3 linked regions of the Astyanax mexicanus genome follow. The protein of the gene in region 2 purifies or fractionates together with the protein of the main gene of each other region. This does not show direct contact. Links are inferred from orthologs where the notes say so. Each region holds a gene or a part of one and is shown on either strand. Other genes may lie near its edges. The genes, in order: map3k7, card11 and malt1.

Region 1 (7,654 bases), on a different chromosome or scaffold from region 2:
TTGTATATTTTACAGAATTTTAAGATTGGTTTATAACTTTTAGTCCTGTAAAATTACAGTAAAATATATTTAAAAATACTTTTTCTGGCAACTAAAATAACTTTGCTTTAAAATGTAAATTCCATTTTAACAGTGCAGTGATTGTATTTGTATTTACAGTAGTTGTGAGTTTTTCTTTTTATTTATTGTTATTATTATTATTATTAGGTTGTTTTTTTTTTGCTGTATTCTTTATGCAGTTTTGGCAGGGAAGTATTAGCAGGATGTTATAAGGTGATGAGTCTGCATTATATTATCTTTATAAATTATATCTAAACTGGTCATTTTGAATAGTGCATGAGGTGCTTATGTTTATATTATACTTATTGTAAATTCTAGTTCCTTTTACCACCACTATTAATAAACAAATTAAATAATGTGCGTCTCTCCTCAATTAATCAATTCACACCAAACTCACTTCAAATAACACTGTTGAATTATGGAGAAACTTGTTGAATTCCACAGTCAGGGCCTGCACAATGCACGGGGAGGACAGACACCCTTGTCTGAATATGAACAACTGCTGTTTGAGTTTTTTCCAGCAGTGGTGATTAATAGGGATCATATTCAGCTGTCACCAAATGATGGTTGAAATCCTGAGTTTATTTTTAGAACGCTGAAGTCATGTGTTCAGGTTACTCAGCAAATGCAATTTTGTTGATCATTTTCCCATCACCTCTGGTCACAGTGCACAAGGTCACACTGCTTCAAACCAAACACAGTACATAAACAAACACAGCAAACAGACCAAAGGGTAAACGGGTAGTCCAGTGTAGTCCAGTGTGTGAGGTTGGACACTAAGCTCTAATATTATACAGAGCTGTCAAATTTATTAACACACAAAAACTTCAAAAAGGCTGCATGCAGTCAACCAAAGCCTAGTTAGCTCTGCACACAAAATAAGCTGTAAAAGTATTCTGAAAGTTTACTGCAACATGGAATTAATTTTTTTGTTTTATTTTGTTTTTTTCTACCTTTGAGATGAGTTGCCGCACCAGAACTAATCATCCAGTGAGTGTCTGATTTCACTAATGCTCTCGCTTTCAGGATGAATGCAATCAAAATCTTGCAGCAATGTTCCAACATCTAGTACAAAACCTTCCCGAAAGAGCAGACACAAGTCCTGCAACAAAGAGGGGACAGACTCATTTTTAATACTAAGGCAGTGTATTGGCATAAACTTATTGATACAGGGGTTACAATCCATTATATTAAAATATATGACAATACTGTAAGTAATGTAATATATTGTGAATGCTAAAATCAATACTTATCACTTTACTGTATTTGGATGAGTCATTACAGATGCCTCATAGATGCTCAAATAATATTTAACGCAATGGGCCCTATTTTAGCGATCTATAGTGCAACGGTCAATTGTGGATCTGCACAACTGGATTTAGGGCGTGTTGGCAGTTCTTTGGTATCGTGTGGGCGAAAACAGCACCCCTTTGCTCAGCTCAAAACGCGCAGGTATTAATTTTCTTAATTAATCATGAGTGTGTTTTGGGCTTAACGTGAAATAAATCAATCAGTGTGTTAGTTGCCATTCATTCCCTTTAAGAGGCAGGTGTGCTTTGACTTTGGCACATTCGTATCTTAACAGGGCAGCACTTTGTGATTCTCAGCAGATGAGATTGACCTGCGCATTCACACTATGAAGGAACGGCAGCAGCTTATTTAAGAAAACAGAAATGTTTTTTTCATTCTTTATTTTGTTTATTATTAAAAAATGGATTTGCGCTCTGTGTGTGTGTGTGTGTGTGTGTATGTGTGTGTGCTGAATTAGCTGGGGTGTACGGCTGCTGGGCACATGCAGCATCATTTCAGTCAGTGGAGATCCTGTGTTTTCCACCGCCAAAATAGCAACACACCTCACTTCCAGACCACCACACCCATCAGTGTAGATTTATTCCTAAACTCCCACACTATTAACGGTGCGGGTGCAAGGCGTGAAAATAGACTGTTGATAGGGTGTAAAATAGCAATGAGCATCGAGACGCACTTTGCACAGGGTGTCCGACCCTACGTCTATTAAATGCAACTGAATGCTCTTTACTCTTTAACCTGAACTGTACTCTTAACATTTTATAGTTAGCTTTAGAGTAGATTTAATGTTTAGGTTAAGGTTTGAGTACAACACTCCTCTCTAGTGGGTGGGGTTTAAACACAACACTAAATGAACCATTGTCTGCCACCAATCTTTACATATAAACCAATAATTAAAAATGAATACTGTGTTTTTGATTTTTGATTTTGCAAAACAAAATATTGAAATACTTAATTATATTAATATTTCCTTTCATTCCTATTTAATTAACTTTTTTGGAAGAATCTGTCTATCTAGGGCATATTATGTCTGTCCAAAATTACTAATTGTATTACAATCTTGGATACACAGAGAACAATATTAATATCATATTGGATCACTCATTCGTGGGACATGAGCTTGTGAAAAGGCCTGTTTTTTATGTTGCGGACAAATCTTTGGACACAACGTTTCTTGTTAAATGTAACATTAAACAGACATTAAAGCTCTACAGGAACACATGCAGAGTCCCTGGAGGTGATAAAGAACAGTTGCTGAATAGTTGCTGCTTTTCCTTTATGCTGTAAAGCGCCAGCTCATCCCAAATCACCTCAAATCACCATCTCAGTTGGGTTTAGGTCAGGGGATTGTGAAGGCCAAACACTTTCTGTTTACTACATAATTTCATATATGCTACTTAACTGTTTTTGTGTGTTTAATATTAATCTACAGTGTAGAAAATAAATTTAACAAAAAAAGAAATGAGAAAAACATTGAATGAGAAGTTTTTATTTGAATATCATGCAGCCCTGATATACAAACATAATGGAGCTAGTTTGCCATCCTATCCTGTTTTAGAACCTACAGCTGCATTCAGGATAGCTCTCTATTACAGAAATAGTGCACTATATAGTGTCTGCCATTTTCTAAAGCTGTTCATAAATCTCAACAGTCTCATTTTATTCCCTAGATAGTTTACTATCAAACACTCATAATGTATCACAAACTGTAGTGTACAGATCATGCAAGCTAGAATTTCCAGCGTATACCTTAATGCCTTGGTGGTAATGTGTTGGTGTTGTGTCAGACGTCCTTAGAGCGGCAAGAATTAAGGGTGTTTTCACACCTGCCTTGTTCGTTCTGAACTTTCAGATTTTTGCTATGGTCTGAACCAAAGTAGCAGGTGTGAAAGTGGCCATGAATCATGGTGCATGAAACGAAGAACCAGAGGTAGGTCCAACCAAAAGTGCTCTCTGTCCGGATCTACTGAACCATGGTCTGGGTCTTCCATGGTCTGCAGTGAGAAAACACTTTTGTAAATGGTTCCAACTTTCAGACTAATTTGACTGTTTGTCATAAAACAGAAATAAAGGAATTTGAGGATAATCTTTTACACTCATTTTTCTGTGGGGTGCAACTGTACAAGGAGCAAACCAGACCAAATATATTCAATTTTAAAAAGATATGAAACTTGGTCAAGACTTTTAGGTGTGAAAACAAAAAAAAGAAATTTGTTGTTTGGTCGTTCCCTCGTCAGTTGGGTCATGATAAAATTAGCTGTTAGGTGTCAGATCATCGTGTTTGGGTAATATTTTGCTGATTGGATAATAAACTTAGCTGTTAGGTGTCAGATCTTTATGTTTGGATTAAACGTTGCTGATGATATCATAAACTTTGTTGTTAGTTGTTGGATCTTTATGTTTGGGTTAAATGTTGCTGATCAGATCATAAATATCCACAACCTCCTAGCTGTAAATTGGAGGAAGTTACCAGTCTGGTGTAGGTGTGTGAGCAGGACAGCAGAGTATAGGAAATGGGAATAGGCTCTATGTGTGACTCAAGATGTTAGGTGTAGCATTTATGTATTATGTTACCTAGATCAACATCACTTCATATCATTATTCACATCAACACTAGATGCTTTTATGTCAGTTCATATGGTTGTATATGTAGAGATCAGCTCCAGACCTAAAGAATTACAGCTCTGGAAAAAATTAAGAGACCAGTTTCTCTGATTTTGCTATTTATAGGTATATGTTTGAGTAAAATTAACATTGTTGTTTTATTCTATAAACTACAGACAACATTTCTCCCAAATTTATAATACAAATATTGTCATTTAAAGCATTCATTTGCAGAAAATGAGAAATGTCTTAATAACATAAAGATGCAGAGCTTAGACCTTATATAAAGTTCAGAAATCAATATTTGGTGGAATAACCCTGGTTTTTAATCACAGTTTTCATGCATCTTGGCATGTTCTCCTCCACCAGTCTTACACACTGCTTTTGGATAACTTTATGCCACTCCTGGTGCAACAATTCAAGCAATTCAAAACAAAATTCTTCCTCTTGATTATATTCCAGAGGTTTTCCATTTGGTGAATTAAAGGAACTCTTCACATTTAAGTGGTCTCTTATTTTTTTCCAGAGCTGTAGTTCTGAGAGCTGGGTGTTGGAGCAGGTTGAGGCTCCATACCGCGGGCTGACTGGAGAGGGCAGGATTCAGAGGAGCTCAACTTCCTGGAAGTACAGCAGTCAGTCAGTCTGTACTGCGCCGGAGGAAAAGAAAAATACACATAAAATAATAATAACAACACACGCGCTCCATGGAGGAGACACGCTAAAAGTTCTCCACCGCTTCTGTAATGGGCCGAAGGCCTTGGTCGCGTGAAACGGACACTTAAGGTGGTCTAAATCGCCCTGAAATGTTAAGAGGTTTGGAGGCGGTGGTGAGGAGCCTGGGCGCCGGTGTGGAGTGAGCGCTGCGCGGCCGAGAGCTGCTCCTCCCTCCCCTGTGCGGCCCGGCGGAGCGCGGCTTAGCTTAGCTTAGCTTAGCCTAGCCTAGCTGAACTAGCTTAGCAAGCGCTAGTTCAGCTGCGGATCGCAGTCTTGAGTTTTGTTGTTGCCAGTTTGAGCTCGTTTTTTGTGTTGTGTTGTTTTCTGAGCTAACCTTCAGACTCCGCTGAATTTAGGAGGAGAAGTTTAGCTAGATAACGCTATGTACTGCCGACCCTGTCCTTCAGACTCGGGTTTGTTTAAAAGCCGCCTGTCCCGCTTCTCTCGGGCCAGTGTTGCATTCAGATAGACGGGTTAGCGCTAGCTTAGCTTAGCTATCGTTTTGGGGCTGCTGGTCTGGGAGCTAGAAGTTTTTAAAGTGGTGAAATTCCTGTGAAGCTCGCGGTGTAATGCGGGGCTCGTTAGGAGAACCAGTCCCTCTGCTTGTGGTTGAATAGCAGAGGTCCTTCACTGTAACCGCTGAATGTGTTTAGGCTCCAGAATCGCCATTCTTTGTTCGGTTTTGTGTTTTTAATGGTCGCTGTTAGCCGGTTAGCTGGCTAGCAATGTCTGTCCCCTCCGCCGAGATGCTTGAGACACCACCTGGATATCCGTTTGAGGAGATAGATTATGCTGATATCGAAGTGGAAGAGGTAACTAAACCTGTCCCTGTATCTCTCTTTAGCTTTATTAAAGATAATTAGTGAGTGGGGTTTCATATTCATGTGCAGAATTCAGTAAAACACGCCGGTTTGTCACAGTTGTTCAGCTGTTTCTAGCACACACCTCAGCAGTACACCTGGCTAAGGTTAGGCTAGGTTAGCTTACGTTATCTAGCTACTCTACCTAAAAACCGGTTTTATTTTAATTAGATATTTTTCACAGAAAAATCTTAAGCAAGACTTTTCACTAGATAAACTTTCAGTGCAGTTTTTACTTTAACGTTACAGTACACATGCTGATTTATACCTTATTTAAACATAGCACGCAAATTTGCTAAGGGCATTTGTGTTTGGTAGATTATTTCTTTAACAGTGATTCTTGTCAATTAATTTCCCTTTTAAATGATTTCACATGTGTACCTAATGAACATGCTTTTAATGGATGAGCAGATTAAACCTGAGTTTTTGGTTTGTGCCCATGAAAACTTTGCCAAATCTTCTTAGCTTATGCTGTTGCTATGGAAATTTGTTTTGAGCTTCTAGTACCCCCACATGATTGGCACCTGATTGGCAGCACCTGTGAGTAGGCATGCAATGATTAGTCAATATAATCGAGAAGTTGAATCAGAATAGTCGTTGTCGACTAATCATCAATTTGTCCACTACACAAAGTACTGGGGACAGAAGCACAACGGGAGAGGGGTCAAAATCAACTCAACCTGCATCTCCAAAAGTGCACAAACACAACAGTTAACCTATTTCCACATGTAAAGGACAATGTTCTGGACATTTGAAGGGCATTAAAATGCCACATCCAGTTGTTTACCCACAGCAAAGAATTGGCATGCCATGTTTGAATGAGCTGGATAGTCTACATAGGGCAGCTTCAAGCTGTTGTTCCTAGTTGTTCCAAAACCTAGTTGTGGAACCCTTGTAAAAGTATCTTCAAATTGAAGGCCAGGTTACATATAACGGTGAATGTTAGAGGCTGTGAAGGGGGCATCACATGAAGGTAAATTTGCTCTTAAGCAGAGAGCATTTCAAGAAAACATTATGGGCACAAGCCACATACTAAGCTCTGCTGCGCATCTCACAATTACAAATGTTGCTTTATTTACAGTAAGAATTAACTGGGTTTTCTTTGTATAAGATCTATTGCCAATAAACATTGTTACAACAAAGAAATAATATACCAAACACACAGGTTTTCAGCGTCTATGTACAGATGTTAAACCTCACATTGCTAGCTAAGATTGCCCAGTAAACCTACATGGATCCTTCATACGAAGCAAATGTCTCATTTTCAGGTGGTGGGCAGAGGAGCGTTTGGTGTCGTCTGCAAGGCCAAATGGAAGGGCAAAGATGTGGCTATCAAGACCATAGAGAGTGAATCTGAAAGAACTGCCTTTATAGTGGAGGTACAGTGAAATCAAGTTTTACTTAATTCATCACACAAACAGTCCTACACCCAGGGGCGATTCCAGGATCAAATCAACCCAGTCCTTTCATTTTTACTTTCTCTTTAAACAGTTTTTTAGAAGATAAGAAGATAAAATTGTGTTCATTCTCTCACTCGAATTTAAACAATGGCTGATTGGTAGGCTGCAGCTTAACCTAATAAATTAAAAGTGCCAGACAGTGACAGCATAAAGAGTGATGCTTGATGGTGAGTGTGAGCAGGCTTAGCACACAGGAGGACAGAGAAAAAGTGAACTATACTTTTTGTGTAGTGAGTAGAGACTGCTGCATTTTTATTCTTAAAATACAGTTTTAACAATTTTGAACCTTTTACTTTCATTTTAGAACTAGTTTGAACTAGTTACACCCATGCTCTTTGTAGGTTAGGCTTAATCATTAGAGATTGATGATCAGTTAGTCCAACTTGTGTAGAAGGCTAGACATCTGCCAAGCACTGTGCCCAGTTGTCCACCTACACAGCAGGTTGATGGTTTTCTCAATTTGACTTAAGAAGGGCTTGATTCTTAGCCAATAGTGTGACTCAGCTGCAGCACAACTCTACTCTGTGCAGGTAGACAACAGGAACTGACTCTGATTCACAGTGTAACTCTTTCTTTTTCATCTCCAGCTTCGTCAGTTGTCTCGAGTAAATCATCCCAACATTGTGAAGCTGTATGGCTCCTGTGACA
Region 2 (7,926 bases):
TCTAACCCTACACCTAACCCTAACCTTAACCCTTAATCAACCATAAAATCAAACCCTACACCTAACCCTAACCTTAACCCTTAATAAACCATAAAATCTAACCCTACACCTAACCCTAACCCTAACCTTAACCCTTAATCAACCATAAAATCTAACCCTACACCTAACCCTAACCTTAACCCTTAATCAACCCTAAAATCTAACCCTACACCTAACACTAACCTTAACCCTTAATAAACCATAAAATCTAACCCTACACCTAACCCTAACCTTAACCCTTAATCAACCATAAAATCTAACCCTACACCTAACCCTAACCTTAACCCTTAATCAACCATAAAATCTAACCCTACACCTAACCCTAACCTTAACCCTTAATCAACCATAAAATCTAACCCTACACCTAACCCTAACCTTAACCCTTAATCAACCCTAAAATCTAACCCTACACCTAACCCTAACCTTAACCCTTAATCAACCATAAAATCTAACCCTACACCTAACCCCTAACCTTAACCCTTAATCAACCATAAAATCAAACCCTACACCTAACCCTAACCTTAACCCTTAATCAACCATAAAATCTAACCCTACACCTAACCCCTAACCTTAACCCTTAATCAACCATAAAATCAAACCCTACACCTAACCCTAACCTTAACCCTTAATCAACCCTAAAATCTAACCCTGCACCTAACCCTAACCTTAACCCTTAATCAACCCTAAAATCTAACCCTACACCTAACACTAACCTTAACCCTTAATCAACCCTAAAATCTAACCCTACACCTAACACTAACCTTAACCCTTAATAAACCATAAAATCTAACCCTACACCTAACCCTAACCTTAACCCTTAATAAACCATAAAATCTAACCCTACACCTAACCCTAACCTTAACCCTTAATCAACCATAAAATCAAACCCTACACCTAACCCTAACCTTAACCCTTAATAAACCATAAAATCTAACCCTACACCTAACCCTAACCTTAATCCTTAATCAACCATAAAATCAAACCCTACACCTAACCCTAACCTTAACCCTTAATAAACCATAAAATCTAACCCTACACCTAACCCTAACCTTAACCCTTAATCAACCATAAAATCTAACCCTACACCTAACCCTAACCTTAACCCTTAATCAACCCTAAAATCTAACCCTACACCTAACACTAACCTTAACCCTTAATAAACCATAAAATCTAACCCTACACCTAACCCTAACCTTAACCCTTAATAAACCATAAAATCTAACCCTACACCTAACCCTAACCTTAACCCTTAATCAACCATAAAATCTAACCCTACACCTAACCCTAACCTTAACCCTTAATCAACCATAAAATCTAACCCTACACCTAACCCTAACCTTAACCCTTAATCAACCCTAAAATCTAACCCTACACCTAACCCTAACCTTAACCCTTAATCAACCATAAAATCTAACCCTACACCTAACCCCTAACCTTAACCCTTAATCAACCATAAAATCAAACCCTACACCTAACCCTAACCTTAACCCTTAATCAACCATAAAATCTAACTCTACACCTAACCCTAACCTTAACCCTTAATCAACCCTAAAATCTAACCCTACACCTAACACTAACCTTAACCCTTAATCAACCCTAAAATCTAACCCTACACCTAACACTAACCTTAACCTTAACCTAAGCTTAAAATCTAACCCTACACCCAATCCTAAAATATTAAGATAAGTGTTTGGGTTAGAGTTGAATGTAGGGTTATATTCAATAGAGAATCTTTAATTTGCATTTAATAGACATGTAGTTGAAGGTTAGTTGAATGTCAGTTAAGCATAAAAAAAGCCATCAAATGGAGCATCCAAGTAAAGTGTTACCAATCCAAAGTCTTTTGTTGCTTTCAGTAAAATCATTTTTTGCTCACCAATTTACAAGGTCAATTACCCAACCCACTCATTAGGACTCCTCTTATCACTGGTGATGACCCAACACCAGGAGGGTTAAGACTAGCACCCGCCAAAGTCAGAGCGCACCTGCCTCTTAAAGGGAATGACTACTGGCACGCTGATTGGTTTATTTCACGTTACGCCCAAAATTAACCACACCCACGATTAATTAAGGTAATTAGTACATTGCTTTCACACAAAGTAATTTTTTTTATAACAAATTAATAGGATTAGATTAAAACATGGTTCCTCAGTATGCATGACCAGTGATATTGCACAAAGGTTGAGAGTAAATAAATAGCAATAGTGATGGTGTTGCATTTTTTTTTCATTTTCTGATGCTTTAAACTATATTTTATACTACATATTTTATACTGATTTTTCATTTTTTCACCCTTAATGAGACGTGAGAGGGAAATGACAGTACTCTTCTGCAGATCTGAACACAAATCTTGAAGGGATCAAGAACTAAAAGGGATGAGAGAGAGAGAGAGTACTGTGCAAAGATTTTAGGCACCAAATTAAATAACACTAATCCATTTATCTCAGCAATATGAGTGATTTTACCTGAACAAAGCACCACATTTAATTTAAACAGTTGCAAATAAACATAAATACAGTAAAACTAAATATGTTATATCCTGTGAGTCCAGCTGAAGAATAAAGTGTAGAGATTCCAGATTTCACCTGGATGCTCCTCAGCCAGCATGTGTATATTATGTTCCGTTCCGTCAGCAGCTCACCTGATTTACCACATTTACCAATTTACCAAACCAGGTGTTGATTAACATGATGAGAACTAGAAATAACTCGATTAAACTCAGGTGAGGAGAAGAGATTAGAAGATGTTTTAAGAAAAACAGGGCTGTAAAAGCTCTGCTTTTTGTAAAATTGCTGTTTGTATTTATTGTAATGCTAAGTTAGTGTTTTACTGAACTAATAAACACTTACTTTATACTTTATAACTATATATATATATATATATATATATATATATATAGTTGTGTCTTCTGTGCTCTGCTGTAACATTGCAGATTTCCCTGCTGTGGGATTAAATAATAAAGGCTTATCTTATTTTATCTTATTCTGCTATTCAAATACTCTCTCATGCAAAGTACAGTGTTTTATTGCATCATAACATGTTTTTTTTACACTCTCTGTAATAAAATGCACAGCTGGCTCAGTGTTCTTTAAGAACAGATGACATCCTCGATATGCCTAATAAAACATGTTGTTGATACAATAAAAAAAATGTATGACAGTACGATATAAACTAAAATAAGAATATAAACATAGTGCTCAGATCTCAATACAGTGTAGTATAATGTTAAAATGGTACTTTTGCACAGTTTTATCTTTATAGTAAACACTGTAACCAATACCTGTGCCAAAACAAAATCTTTTTTTTTTCTGTAAAACCATTTGATTCACACAACTTGTGTTTTTATTGATTCTTTTTTTTATTGTATTTTATATATTTATTTATCCAGTTAATTGTAAACATGTGGACTTTTTAAACCAAAGCATGGACTTTTATATATACAAACAAAACTGTTTTTAAATGTTTATGCTTTCTCTTTGTATTTAAATGCTCTTTGTATGAAAAAATAAGGGTTGTTGGAAAAAAGAAAAGAAAAAGAAAGAAAAAGTATTGCATGAATTGATGGTATTTGAATATGTGACAATAAAACTTCAGATTTTTCGAAAAAAAAATATATATATATAATAATAATAATAATAATAAGTGCCAGTTGTCATTTTCTGCACTGTAGAGTGTGATTTTATGGTGGCTGAGAAATGAAAGGCACTACCTTTGCAGTGTTTCTGTTAACAGCTTTTTTACTGTTCATTTACAATTAAATTCTTTGCAGTATAAGGTTAACTATAATTTATTTATTGAAAAAAATAATAACAGCATTATAATTTATTAATTTATGCTACAAAATACCCCAAAAAAGGTGTCATTTGGTAACAGGAAATTACTATTATTACTATTATTATACAGTAATATGCTGTAATTATACACTTCTTTTATGTTATGTGTGTATGTAACTTACTGTAACATTATCAAGAAATATTTACAGTGAATATTCCTACTATTAATAATAATACTTTTAAATTTAAAGTACAAGTCAAACATTTGGACACACCTTAATTAATTGTTCCTAAATTCATTTATTTTCTAAATTGTAGATTCATATTAAATCCAGGAAAACAATTAAGAGACACATATAGAATTATGTAGTAAACCGTAAAAAAATGTCCTCCACATTAATCCCCGTGATCTAAACTTGAATCTTACAGCACTCCATGCCTCCCTCTGCTGAGAATTTTTATAGAAACGAGGATTTCATTTTCCAGCAGGACTTGGCACACTGCCCACACTGCCAAAAGTACCAAAAGTACCAATATTCTAATTTTCTGAGACACTGATTTTTGGGTTTTCAATGATTTTACCAAATTTACCAAACCTCTGGAATATAATCAAGAGGAAGACGAATGATCACAAGCCATCAAACCAAGCTGAACTGCTTATTTTTTTGCACCAGGAGTGAGTGGCATAAAATTAACCAAAAGCAGTGTGTAAGACTGGTGGAGGAGAACATGCCAAGATGCATAAAAAACTGTTATTAACTTTACTTTTTAACTTTATAAATATAAACTTGTTTTCTTTGCATTATTTAAAATCTAAAAGCTCTGCGTTTTATTTTTTGTTATTTCAGCCATTTCTCATTTTATAATAAATAAATGCTCTAAATGACGATATTTTTATTTGGAATTTGGGAGAAATGTTGTCTGTAGTTTATAGAATAAAACAACAATGTTCATTTTACTCAAACATATACCTATAAATAGCAAAATCAGAGAAACTGATCCAGAAACTGTAATGTTTATAGAGCATCTCTCTCTACAGGGTTAATGTATTTGAGTAGACTCTCCTGTAGCCCCGCCCCCTGTGTGTGGGCGGGCCGGCTGTCTCTGAGTGTGTGTGGGTCAGGTGTAAGGTTTGTGTAAGTGGAGGAACTGAGCTGAGCTCCAGGCTGAGATTTTACCTCTCCTTCCTCTGGGTTCGTGGGCCGGAATGTGTGCTGGGTGCTGAGTTGTGGGAGCGGATCTTCTACAGGTGAGTTCTGGGCTGGTTTTAGAACTGGTTTAGAGCAGAGAGCTGTGTGGACAAGTTTGGTAGAAGTTGACGGAGGACGAAGCGCTCGCGCATCGCTGCGCAGCGACGCAACTCAAACCCTGAGAACCTTAAAAACTGCACCTGCTGGAGCACAGCTGAGTGCAACTGAGATGACTTGAGTTAAGTTGAGAAGTATTGAGTTAATTGAAGTCCTAGTCGAGTTATTAGGCTCTTTAAGAAGATCTGGAAGTTTGTGTGTGTGAGGCTGGGTTTTGAGTTGAAGTACTTGTTGGAGCAGTTTTGAGTTTTGAGTGTTTGAATTTGAGTTGAGTTGAGATTGACTTGAAGATAGGTGCTTTTTCAGTTCCCCTAAAAGACTTAAATTTACACAATCTTCTGTGGTGTAAACCAAACACCAAATGTTGTAGTAGTTAATCAGAGTAACCAGTAGGGGTGGGCAATATTATATTGTATACAATATATCGTGACACAGATATACCATGATATTAAAAATCCATATCGTGATAATAGGGCTGTTCTGTCTTACAAGTAGTCTATTATTTACTGTGAAGCTTTAGGTGTATTTATTGTATAATTGTTTTAGTTGCAGTTTATATGCATGCACTGAATATTCTGCAATATTTTTTGCTGCATTATATTATTTTATGCTATATTATTTATTTTGCCACATTATGATTATACTGTTATACTATTATACTATATTCCTGAAATTAATGAATTATTTTAGTTTTCCTATATCGCCAAGTATATCGTTATCGCAAAAATACCCTGAAATATCTTGATATTATTTTAGAGCCATATCGCCCACCCCTAGTTACCAGCATCAGAAACCACAAGTTAACAAGCTAAGTCCCAAGATATAAGCCATCTAAATGTTTGTTTAACACTTTTAAGTTACTACATGATTTCTTATGTGTTCCTTTATAGCCACACTGAATGAGAAGGTTTGTCCCAACTTTTGACTGGTACGGTATTTTTAGGGCTCTATTGTTTATTACTATTGTGGACACAATTGTTTATTTAGTGTATTCTTCTTTTAATAATTATTGTTTTTTTTTTTCAGAAAGATTATGCTGCACAATTTGAAAAGATTTTTGTGAAGTAGTTGTGTTGAGGTTGTGTTCTACCTGCAGAACTTTTTCATATTATTTTCATATTTTCTAATTTATGGCAGTTCATGTTTTTTTTTTTTTTTTTTTTTTTTTTTTTTACAATATTGGAATAGTGCTACAATTGGAAGAGTTGAAGTGAATATGGTTTAAAGAGACAAGAGTAAGCTAAAGTATGCACTATATTTTCTATTTTATCATATGTGCCACCTATAAATCCAGAATTCCTGGTATTTTCTTATTTATGAATATTTTATTCTCTTCAATGACACAGATGCTGTGAAGTTTCATAGTTATAGAGAATTGTCTTGCAATATATTGAGTATCACAGATTCAAAGTATCATGATTTCATCTTTATCACGGGTAGCATATTGTGATAATATGTTTTGCAACACTGCAACTTTGCAACACATTTTATAAATATATATTTTACATGGTAAAGATTGGTGGAAGACAGAGGTTTACTTTATTATGTATTTTAAACTCTGATTAAACTCTTTGTTTTAGTGCTGTTTTCAGATCCCATTGATCTGATTGGATCAAAATTTGATAATTTGTTTAATCCATATACTACTATGTTTTCCTAAAATATCACAAAACATCACATCATTCACAGTATCACATTATATTGAATTGTAATCTGTATCATATCACATCATATCACATTATTTTCATTGTCATATTTGCTCAAAATCTGCTCTCTCAAAGTCATTTAGCCTCACAAATCACAGACTATTTAGACTACAAAACTACATTTATCCAGAGATTGTTCCCATCATGTTTCTGGTCAATATTTATAAGAAACTGTTTGAACAATTGAAGCATCAAACAATGGAGATGACGGGAGAGCTCTGCAAGAGTCATCTAAATGCATTCTTCACAGGAAACATGTCTGCGGTGTTTGAAACCAGTATTAATTGTGCATGTTGACACACCATGAATCATGTTTCTATGTCATATTTGCTCATATTCTGATAATGCCTTATATCACCAGTAAGTTTTTAGGCCTTTACATTAGTCATAAGTCTGATAGTTTTGTGTTTCATGTCTGAGCTGCATGTATTTATTACAGTTAGAGGTGGGGCGAAATCCATTTATTCATACTTTCCTATCGTCTCAAAATATTACTGCTGTATATGGTACAACACACAGCACAGATGGGTCTATTTTAATGTTTTTCCAAACCAAAAAATGACCAAACAAAAAGTTCAGTTTGCTCACACGTGGCTCTATTTTAGTGACCTATAGGCAAGACGTCAACCGCACAACATGCAGCTTGATTTTGGGCATTTCAGTGTGTCTTTGCTATCGTAACGATGGGAAAAGTACACCTTGCACATCTTGAAAAATGCAAAAGGTGTGTACTAATTCTCCTAATTAATAATGGTTGTGGTTTTGGGCGTAATGTGAAATAAATCAGATCAGAATCAAATTGTCACTTTGCATTCCCTTTAAAAACCAGATGTGCTTTGATTTTCCTCTGGCGCATTGCTATTCTAATGGCGCAGTGCTTCTGCGCTTTTCAGCAGAGGAAATTGATCTGCTCGTTCACGCTGTGTTTATTTTTAATGTAAAAGTTGGATTTCCATATTGCAGCATGTCCTTGTGTGTGTGTGTGTGTGTGTGTGTGTGTAAGTAGCAGGAGTGTATGCACATTGAGTATTCAATGCCTGCATTGCCAAAATAGCAATGAATGTTTGAAGATTGACTGTTGTCGGGTTTAAATCAGTTAGT
Region 3 (7,156 bases), on a different chromosome or scaffold from region 2:
TAATGAACGCTCTGTCTTCAAGTGTAATGTATAAAAGTCTCGGTAAATATGTAAAAAAAATATTAACAATATGGAACACCATGCCTGGTAACAGAACTGAAGTCTGAATAAAGTGTGTGAATAAACCTAGCTAGCCGAGATTAACTAGTCATCTCAGCTAGCTAGCTAGCTAGCGAAGTGTTTTATCAATGAACATCAAAGCATCTGCTGCTGCTGGTGATGTTTGTTGTTCTTTTTCTCTAGGATAAATCAGGAGAGATATTTTATTAAAGTACCACTCAATGGGTGTTGATTGGCTGATGGATAGTTTACTAATAGTGAAGTTGTGACTTGGAGTGAGGCAAACCCACCTTATTTAATGTGAAAAAAACTAGTTTATTGTGTTTTAAGAATATGTATATAATTTATGCAAAGCAGGGAAAATGTTTACGATAATTACATGATCATGTATAATTTTGTATGTAACTAGAGTTTAATAGGGCAAACGACTCACTTAACAACACTACCAAGCATCGCTATCCACTGAAAATGACCTTTGACCTGGGAGTCGGTTAATGAATCGGTTAATGAATCGGTTAATGAATCGGTTAATGAATCGGTTTGTGAATCGACTCCCAGGTCAAAGGTCATTCTCCTCTGATGGGTGATTCCTCGGAATTTTCTAAAAGACAGTTCCGTTCCTGGTATGGCAATTCTTCTCTGTCTTTCTTTTGTTTTAAAAAGTGATTCCTTTCTTCTCTTTTTGTCTTTTGTCCTTCCTCTCTTCTATTTCCAAAAATGATTATTCTTTTTTGGAAAGCCAGTTCTTCTCTCTTTGATTCTTTGATCCATCTCTTCCCTTTTTCTTTCCAAGGGTGATTCTTTTTATTTTTCTTTAAAAGCTGAATTCATTCTTATTTTTTTTTTTCTTTTGAAGTCGAAACCTTTCTTTTTGTTTCTTTTTCTTAAAAGGCGATCCCTATCTTTAAATTTATTTCTAAAACTTTTTTTTTTCAAAAAGTAATTCCTCAGTCTTTTTTTCTTTTGAAGGTCTATTCAATTCATTTTTTTTCTTTCACATAGCTCTCTTTTTACTTTTTTCTTTCTAAAATGGCAATTTTTTGTTTTTGTTTCTTTAAAAACACAATTCTTCTCTCAATTTTTAATTTAAAAGGGTTTTCCTTTCATCTTTCCTTACAAACGGCGTGAATATCAAATTTTCACAATATCAGCTTTTCTGAAATGCGATTTTTCATTTTCTTTTGGAACCTGATTATTCTAATGTGAACAGTTATCATTTGATTCTTTAAAGATTCTTTAATTATCTATTGTTTTTTTTTTTACTGTATTATATATTACAAACCAATGATTTTGCTCAGTATTATGAGATGTATACTTTGGTGATTGTTTGATCATGTTGGCTTTTCGCCCTGCAACATGTTTTATACTTTTATTTGTAGGCAAATCATTTAGTGCTGTCGGCACTGCAGATGTTGCAGGCTACTATTCTTAAGTTAAGTTGTCTAAAGCAGAAACTCATCTCTACACTGCATCAACCTCTGTAGCTACTACATACCAGCCTTATGTTTATTCTAAATGTGCCACTTTTTACCTAAATAAAAAATATATTTTTTCTTAACTTGTCAGTTGGTCTGTGTTCTTATTTTGGGGGTGTTTGTGTGATGACTTTAAAAGTAATGATGCGAATCAGCTGAATTTAATGCGCCACTGAGTGAGTAATCCAGAATGCTAATCACTCTGCAGGTCATAGTGTTAGCTAGCCAATCGCAGCGCAGTGGGCGGGGTCTGTCTGAATTTGGGTGGGAATCAGAACAGCAGGAGATGAAGGCGGTGTGCTGAGAGATCAGTTACAGACAGATCTGTGTTCGTTTGGAGGCTGTTTGTTGGAGGGGTGACATTTCTGACGCCACACTTGAAAAGAACCTGATCCAGCTATTCTCATTTTCTCGGTATTGAGATTTAAAGGTTTAATGTCTCTCACGGTGTTAGGAGGTTTAAGTACACTGGTTTTACTCACCGGACCGGTTTTTTTCGTTAATCAGTCCTTAATTAGTGTTTTATTTATTGATTTTATTTTAACTTTTGCAGTATCATATCTCGCAAATAAAATGACTACAAATGTATATACTGTAAATAAATACTTCGATGTTAAATCAACCGCACAAGTTATGCTACAAATATACCAGGCAAATTATCCTGGAATTAAACTACCACACTGACATTACCCTCAAAAGCAAGGGCGTAGGAGCGGGCTTGATATTGGGGGGGACACATTTGCCAATATGAACCCAAGCCCACCCAATAGTTTCCTAGAACAACATTTGTGGAAATTACTTTTAATTAAAAGTAAATTATTATTAGTAAATGGTGATTTTACAACCTAAACATGTTACTCCACATTACAGCTACTGTTGTTACAAAAATTATGCAAGAAATGTCTGAGTTATCACCTAATATTTAAAATAATATAACAGATTATTATTATTGTTATTATTATTATTATTATTGTTATTATTATTATTATTATTATGTATTGGCAATGTCAATTCTGTTGTATATTTACATTTTCTCCTGCACTTTTATTTTTTTTCTACTGAGAGCTCTTCTTAAGATGGTGTCCTTTTATGTAAAAGAATGTAACTTTACGTTTCATAGAGACTTTTATAAACGTCAGGATATGTGGTCTTACTGTGAAATACAAATGAGCAGAAGTCACGTTACAGCAGTGTTTCTCAACCCTGTTCTTATATATTCTACTGCATATTAAAACTGTTCTGCATATTCTAGAGCTTCCTCTGGTGGATATACATGATTAATTTAGACTCCATAGGGGGCTAAAGGATTTTAACAGGTAAACTCAGTAAATGACTGTTTATTAGCTGATCAGGTGGAAAACACTAGTTTAGGGCAGTGATCGGGGTTAAGTAACTGCTTTAAACTACCAAACTACCAAAATTCTGGCGATCATCTACATCCAGCTTCTAGATAACTAGTTAGTTAAATCAATTTTCGTTCATTATAGCTCACAGTAAGTCCTGTAATCCTAAATGAATAAACAGTTTGAAAATGAAAGTGATTAGCTGATCAGGTACAGGGAAACATTACATATATATTTTATTTTTTTCCTTTAACCCTGACTCCCAATCTAGCTAATTCCAAAGATAAGCTTACACACTAACACAGCTGCAGTTTATTAATCACAGTGGGTTTAAACTTTGTGCTGATTCAGAGACGTGTATTTTTAACCAGCTATCAGAAACATAACATCACAGTTGAAGTGGTTAGCCTATCGTTACCTTTCTTTTAGAAAAATCTCCGTATATCCATATCTGTTTTAAAATCAGCTGAAGCTGCTGCGTCCCGATCCCGCTGCTAAATCTCACAGCGAGGGGGCGGGGCTTCCCCAACAGCAAACTGCCTCTGCTCCGCGCGCCGCAAAACCAGCAAGCTGATTGGCTGTTTCTACTGAGAGGCGTGACTTAATACCTGAACCGGCTCCGTGATTGGTCCGGTCTGTCTCCTCATTAATAGTACAGCTGACCTGAGCGAACTGATATCATTTTTGGGGGGGACAAATCCACCTGTTTTTAATATTGGGTGGGACATGTCCCACCCATCCCCCCCGGTTCCTACGCCTATGCTCAAAAGCATTAAACAATACGTTACTGCTGCTAAATGTGATACGATGATATGATACTGGTATATGAAATAAAATATGCAGAACTACCCATTTCTCTCTGCATCTCTCTTTTTCTCTGGCTTTTCTCTCTCTCTTTTTTTCTCTCCCTTCTCTCTCCTTTCTTTTGCTCCCTCTCTCTCGCTGTCTCTCTTTCTCTCTCTCGCTCCCCGTCTTTCTCTCTATTGCAATTCTCTGTCTCTCTTTCTCTCCTCCTCTTTCTCTCACTTGCTCCCTCTTTCTTTTTCTTTCTTTCTCTCTCTTCCTACTCACTCTCATTCATTGTGCCCTCTATCTTGCTCTGTCTTTTGCTCCCTCTCTCTCTCTTTCTCTGTCTTTCTCTCTCGCTCCCCCTGTCTCTTCCCCCCCCTCTCTCTCTCTCTCTCTCTCTCTCTCTCTCTCCACACGCACGCACGCACACACACACACACCTTCGTCACAGTCACACACATCAGGAAGTAGACCTCAGCAAGAAACGTAGACATGTTTATAGAGGTGAAGTGGATTTCCCCACCGAGCAAGGAAACTACAGCGATGTATCATCTCTTTTTTTTCTTCCTCCACCTTTTTCCTCTTCTCTGAGCAGCTCTGAGGTACATCTCTCTCTATTACTTATCTCTATATATGTTACTTTCTTTGTCAGGTTTGCTTAAATATTGAGATGTGGACTAAAGTTAAATGCCAATCTGTCTCTCTCTTTTCTAACCTAAAAATATAAGTTACAGCTAGCTTGCTCTGATGCTCTTCTCAGGCAGGTTAGCACACTGCAGCACGCCTGTGTTGTTAAAATGTAGCTAGGGTTAATTTCCCTGAGACATTTTTAGGGGGTCTTCAGTTTGAGACGGAGGAGAAATCGCTTAGGGTGCTTTAGGGGAAACCTTAACATTTCTGGAAGAAAAATGTTCATTGAAGCACCTTAAGCTTTCTTGAAGGTTTTCTCAAAGTAGTGGTTTCTACTGTGTTTGAACCCATAAAAGATTGTTTAGGAAGTTTGTTTAACTGTGCTTGTCAGTAGAACCCACAATCTGGTGTGAAATATTAGATTAGTCCAAAATTTTAATCCTTCTGGCATAGTGTTGCCCTCGTGCAACAAACCAAATTTTTTGATTAATGCACCTTTTTATATCTTATTTTTGATTATTTACTTACTTAATTATCTTTAATATAATGTTACACGTCCAATACAATGAGGCATACAAGTGGGTGATAAATAAAAATGTGTATATGAGCAAGAATATGTAAAGAAATATATTTGGCTCCTAATATCTAGATTAATACTAGATTCTTACATTCTTGTTGTAAACCTCCTCTTATCTTTCATGTTTTGGGTTTGCTTCCTTGCTCTAAAACACCTGATTCAAATTATCATCTTATTATCAAAGGTCAAAATCTAAATTAATGTTTGCTATATTCAAAGGGACTTCCTAGCCTCTAGAGCTGGGCGATATGGCCCTAAAATAGTATCATGATATTTCATGGTATTTTTGCGATAACGATATTCTGGCGATATGACAAAACATTCAAATAAAACATAAATACACTACTGGAACAAAATGAAAATGAAATTTTAATATTGCATATGGTATGATATGGTACACCCCTATCTGTAATATTAAAAAAATACAAGAATTTTATCAGATTGTAACAGAAGTCAATGAGTCACAATGTCATGATACTAATACTACAATCCATATATCTCTATATATCCAAAACTAAAGTAAAATTAATGATACTGGACAGATATATTCTGTCTCTAGTAAATATATAGTAGAAAAATGAGAACAGTGTGATTTTTCCTTTTGCTAAAAACAGCAAAAAAGTAGTACCCTGATGTTATAATTAGTGGGGGGTAATATGGCACGTTATTTCAGGATATAATATCGTTCATGATATTCAAAAAAGTTGACGATATTATCATGTACTATACGATTTGGCACACAAAACTACCAGAACTCAGCCGAATTAGATTAAATTGGCCCGTTCATGGCCCTGATGAAATTTCATCTGTGAAATACTTTCATGGTGACTACCGGTAACTAAACTATCTAAAACCTGTTAATTAATTCATATACAGCATGAATCTACAGCATATAAAACACAACACATGAAACAGCAGCCACTGATTTACTTCTTTCTCTTTATTTCTCTCTATAAATCTCTTCCTGCTGTCTTTGAATGTTGCTGCTGGTCAGCAGATTGTCAGCACAACCAAGAAACCCGAAGAACCCATTCACTTCTTCCAGCCTGACCCTTTTTAACCAGAGTCTCAGCAATGTCTCAAGATTCTCACGACGGCTCACTGAACATTAACTCTCTGAAGGAGCCTGTGCTACGGAGGCTCTGCGAGTGTCTGGACAGAGCTAATAATAAAGGATGGAGGAAGCTGGGGGAAACGGTCAGCAGTGACCGGCGGTTTAGAGTGAGGTAAGATCTCAAGACTAACCACAGAGGTTTTACAGTGTTTGTGGTGGTAAATCAGTGTTAGTGCTGTTGGTAAATTTTTAAAAAGAAAAGAGTGTGAACTGACTTCTCTTTCTTCTACTGCACTGCTGGAGGTTTTTTAAACACTGTATTCACTCACTGTTATTTTTTTTTTTCACTGTATATATTTAAATTTTTTGGCAGTGAAGGAGGAAGTGTATGTCTGTCTCCACCTCCCACTGACATGTTTTCTTACTGTCTCTCTCTCTCTCTCTCTCTCTCTCTCTCTCTCTCTTTGTTACATTCTTACCTTTTTTTTCTCTCTTTCTCTCTCTGTCTCTCTGACCCCCCACCCCCTCACTCCTTTTATCTCTCTCTCTTTCTCTCTCTCTCTCTCTCTCTCGCTCTCTCTCACACCCCTCTGCTCCCCTCCCCCTTCAGTTTAGATGACATGGAGATGTGCTCTCTGAAGGTGTTGGAGGTGGAAGGCAGCCCCTCCCGCAGTCTGCTGAGGCTCATGGGAGATCGAGGCTGTACACTGGGACACCTGGTGGAGTTCCTGAAGATGATGGGTCACAGTGAAGCCATTCAATGCCTTAAATCAGGTACATCTGCCGCTGCACTCACACACTTTAACACTGTTGTGTGATGGTTGTGACAGTCCTGTAACTGACTAAAACTATTAAATAAGTCTTTAATCCACAAACTTGCAAAATGACACTAAATTACATTATATTGATGGAAATCCACCTGATGTTGCGGTTTTAGACAATTGGGCCCAATCCTATTTCAATCCTTGTCTCTTCCACTTAGCCCTACTCCTCTGTTTTGCATGTGTACGCCTAGATATAGGGTGTCCTCAATCTTGATAGGCTGGAGGAGGTAAGTGGGGGGGGGGGGGAGTTGGAGCTACATTTAAAATATTGCAAAAAAAATCCCCCTATCCCCTTTTTTGAAGACATACAATAAGGCCCTAAAGTTAACTAGTTATCCAGCAGCTAACTTTCTGAACACGGCTAGATTTTTTTTATTGGGTTTTATTGGGTTTTAATAGTTATT

The links.
Region 1: the proteins of card11 (region 2) and map3k7 purify together in Homo sapiens (affinity purification with western blotting; 3 studies listed by BioGRID). This does not show direct contact. The link is inferred for Astyanax mexicanus from reciprocal best matches to the Homo sapiens genes CARD11 and MAP3K7.
Region 3: the proteins of card11 (region 2) and malt1 purify together in Homo sapiens (affinity purification with western blotting; 6 studies listed by BioGRID and IntAct, with this or other methods). This does not show direct contact. The link is inferred for Astyanax mexicanus from reciprocal best matches to the Homo sapiens genes CARD11 and MALT1.

The regions. Positions count from the first base shown.
Region 1 is NC_064408.1:47,758,517-47,766,170, reverse strand, and holds the start of map3k7 (mitogen-activated protein kinase kinase kinase 7), read left to right. Parts: upstream 1-4,578; 5' UTR 4,579-5,411; coding exon 5,412-5,498; intron 5,499-6,814; coding exon 6,815-6,925; intron 6,926-7,593; coding exon 7,594-7,654. UniProt on the Homo sapiens protein: Serine/threonine kinase which acts as an essential component of the MAP kinase signal transduction pathway. Plays an important role in the cascades of cellular responses evoked by changes in the environment.
Region 2 is NC_064410.1:55,729,591-55,737,516, forward strand, and holds the start of card11 (caspase recruitment domain-containing protein 11), read left to right. Parts: upstream 1-4,904; 5' UTR 4,905-5,061; intron 5,062-7,926. UniProt on the Homo sapiens protein: Adapter protein that plays a key role in adaptive immune response by transducing the activation of NF-kappa-B downstream of T-cell receptor (TCR) and B-cell receptor (BCR) engagement.
Region 3 is NC_064429.1:23,829,936-23,837,091, forward strand, and holds the start of malt1 (mucosa-associated lymphoid tissue lymphoma translocation protein 1), read left to right. Parts: upstream 1-4,078; 5' UTR 4,079-4,269; intron 4,270-5,868; 5' UTR 5,869-5,948; coding exon 5,949-6,100; intron 6,101-6,538; coding exon 6,539-6,702; intron 6,703-7,156. UniProt on the Homo sapiens protein: Protease that enhances BCL10-induced activation: acts via formation of CBM complexes that channel adaptive and innate immune signaling downstream of CARD domain-containing proteins (CARD9, CARD11 and CARD14) to activate NF-kappa-B and MAP kinase p38 pathways which stimulate expression of genes encoding pro-inflammatory cytokines and chemokines.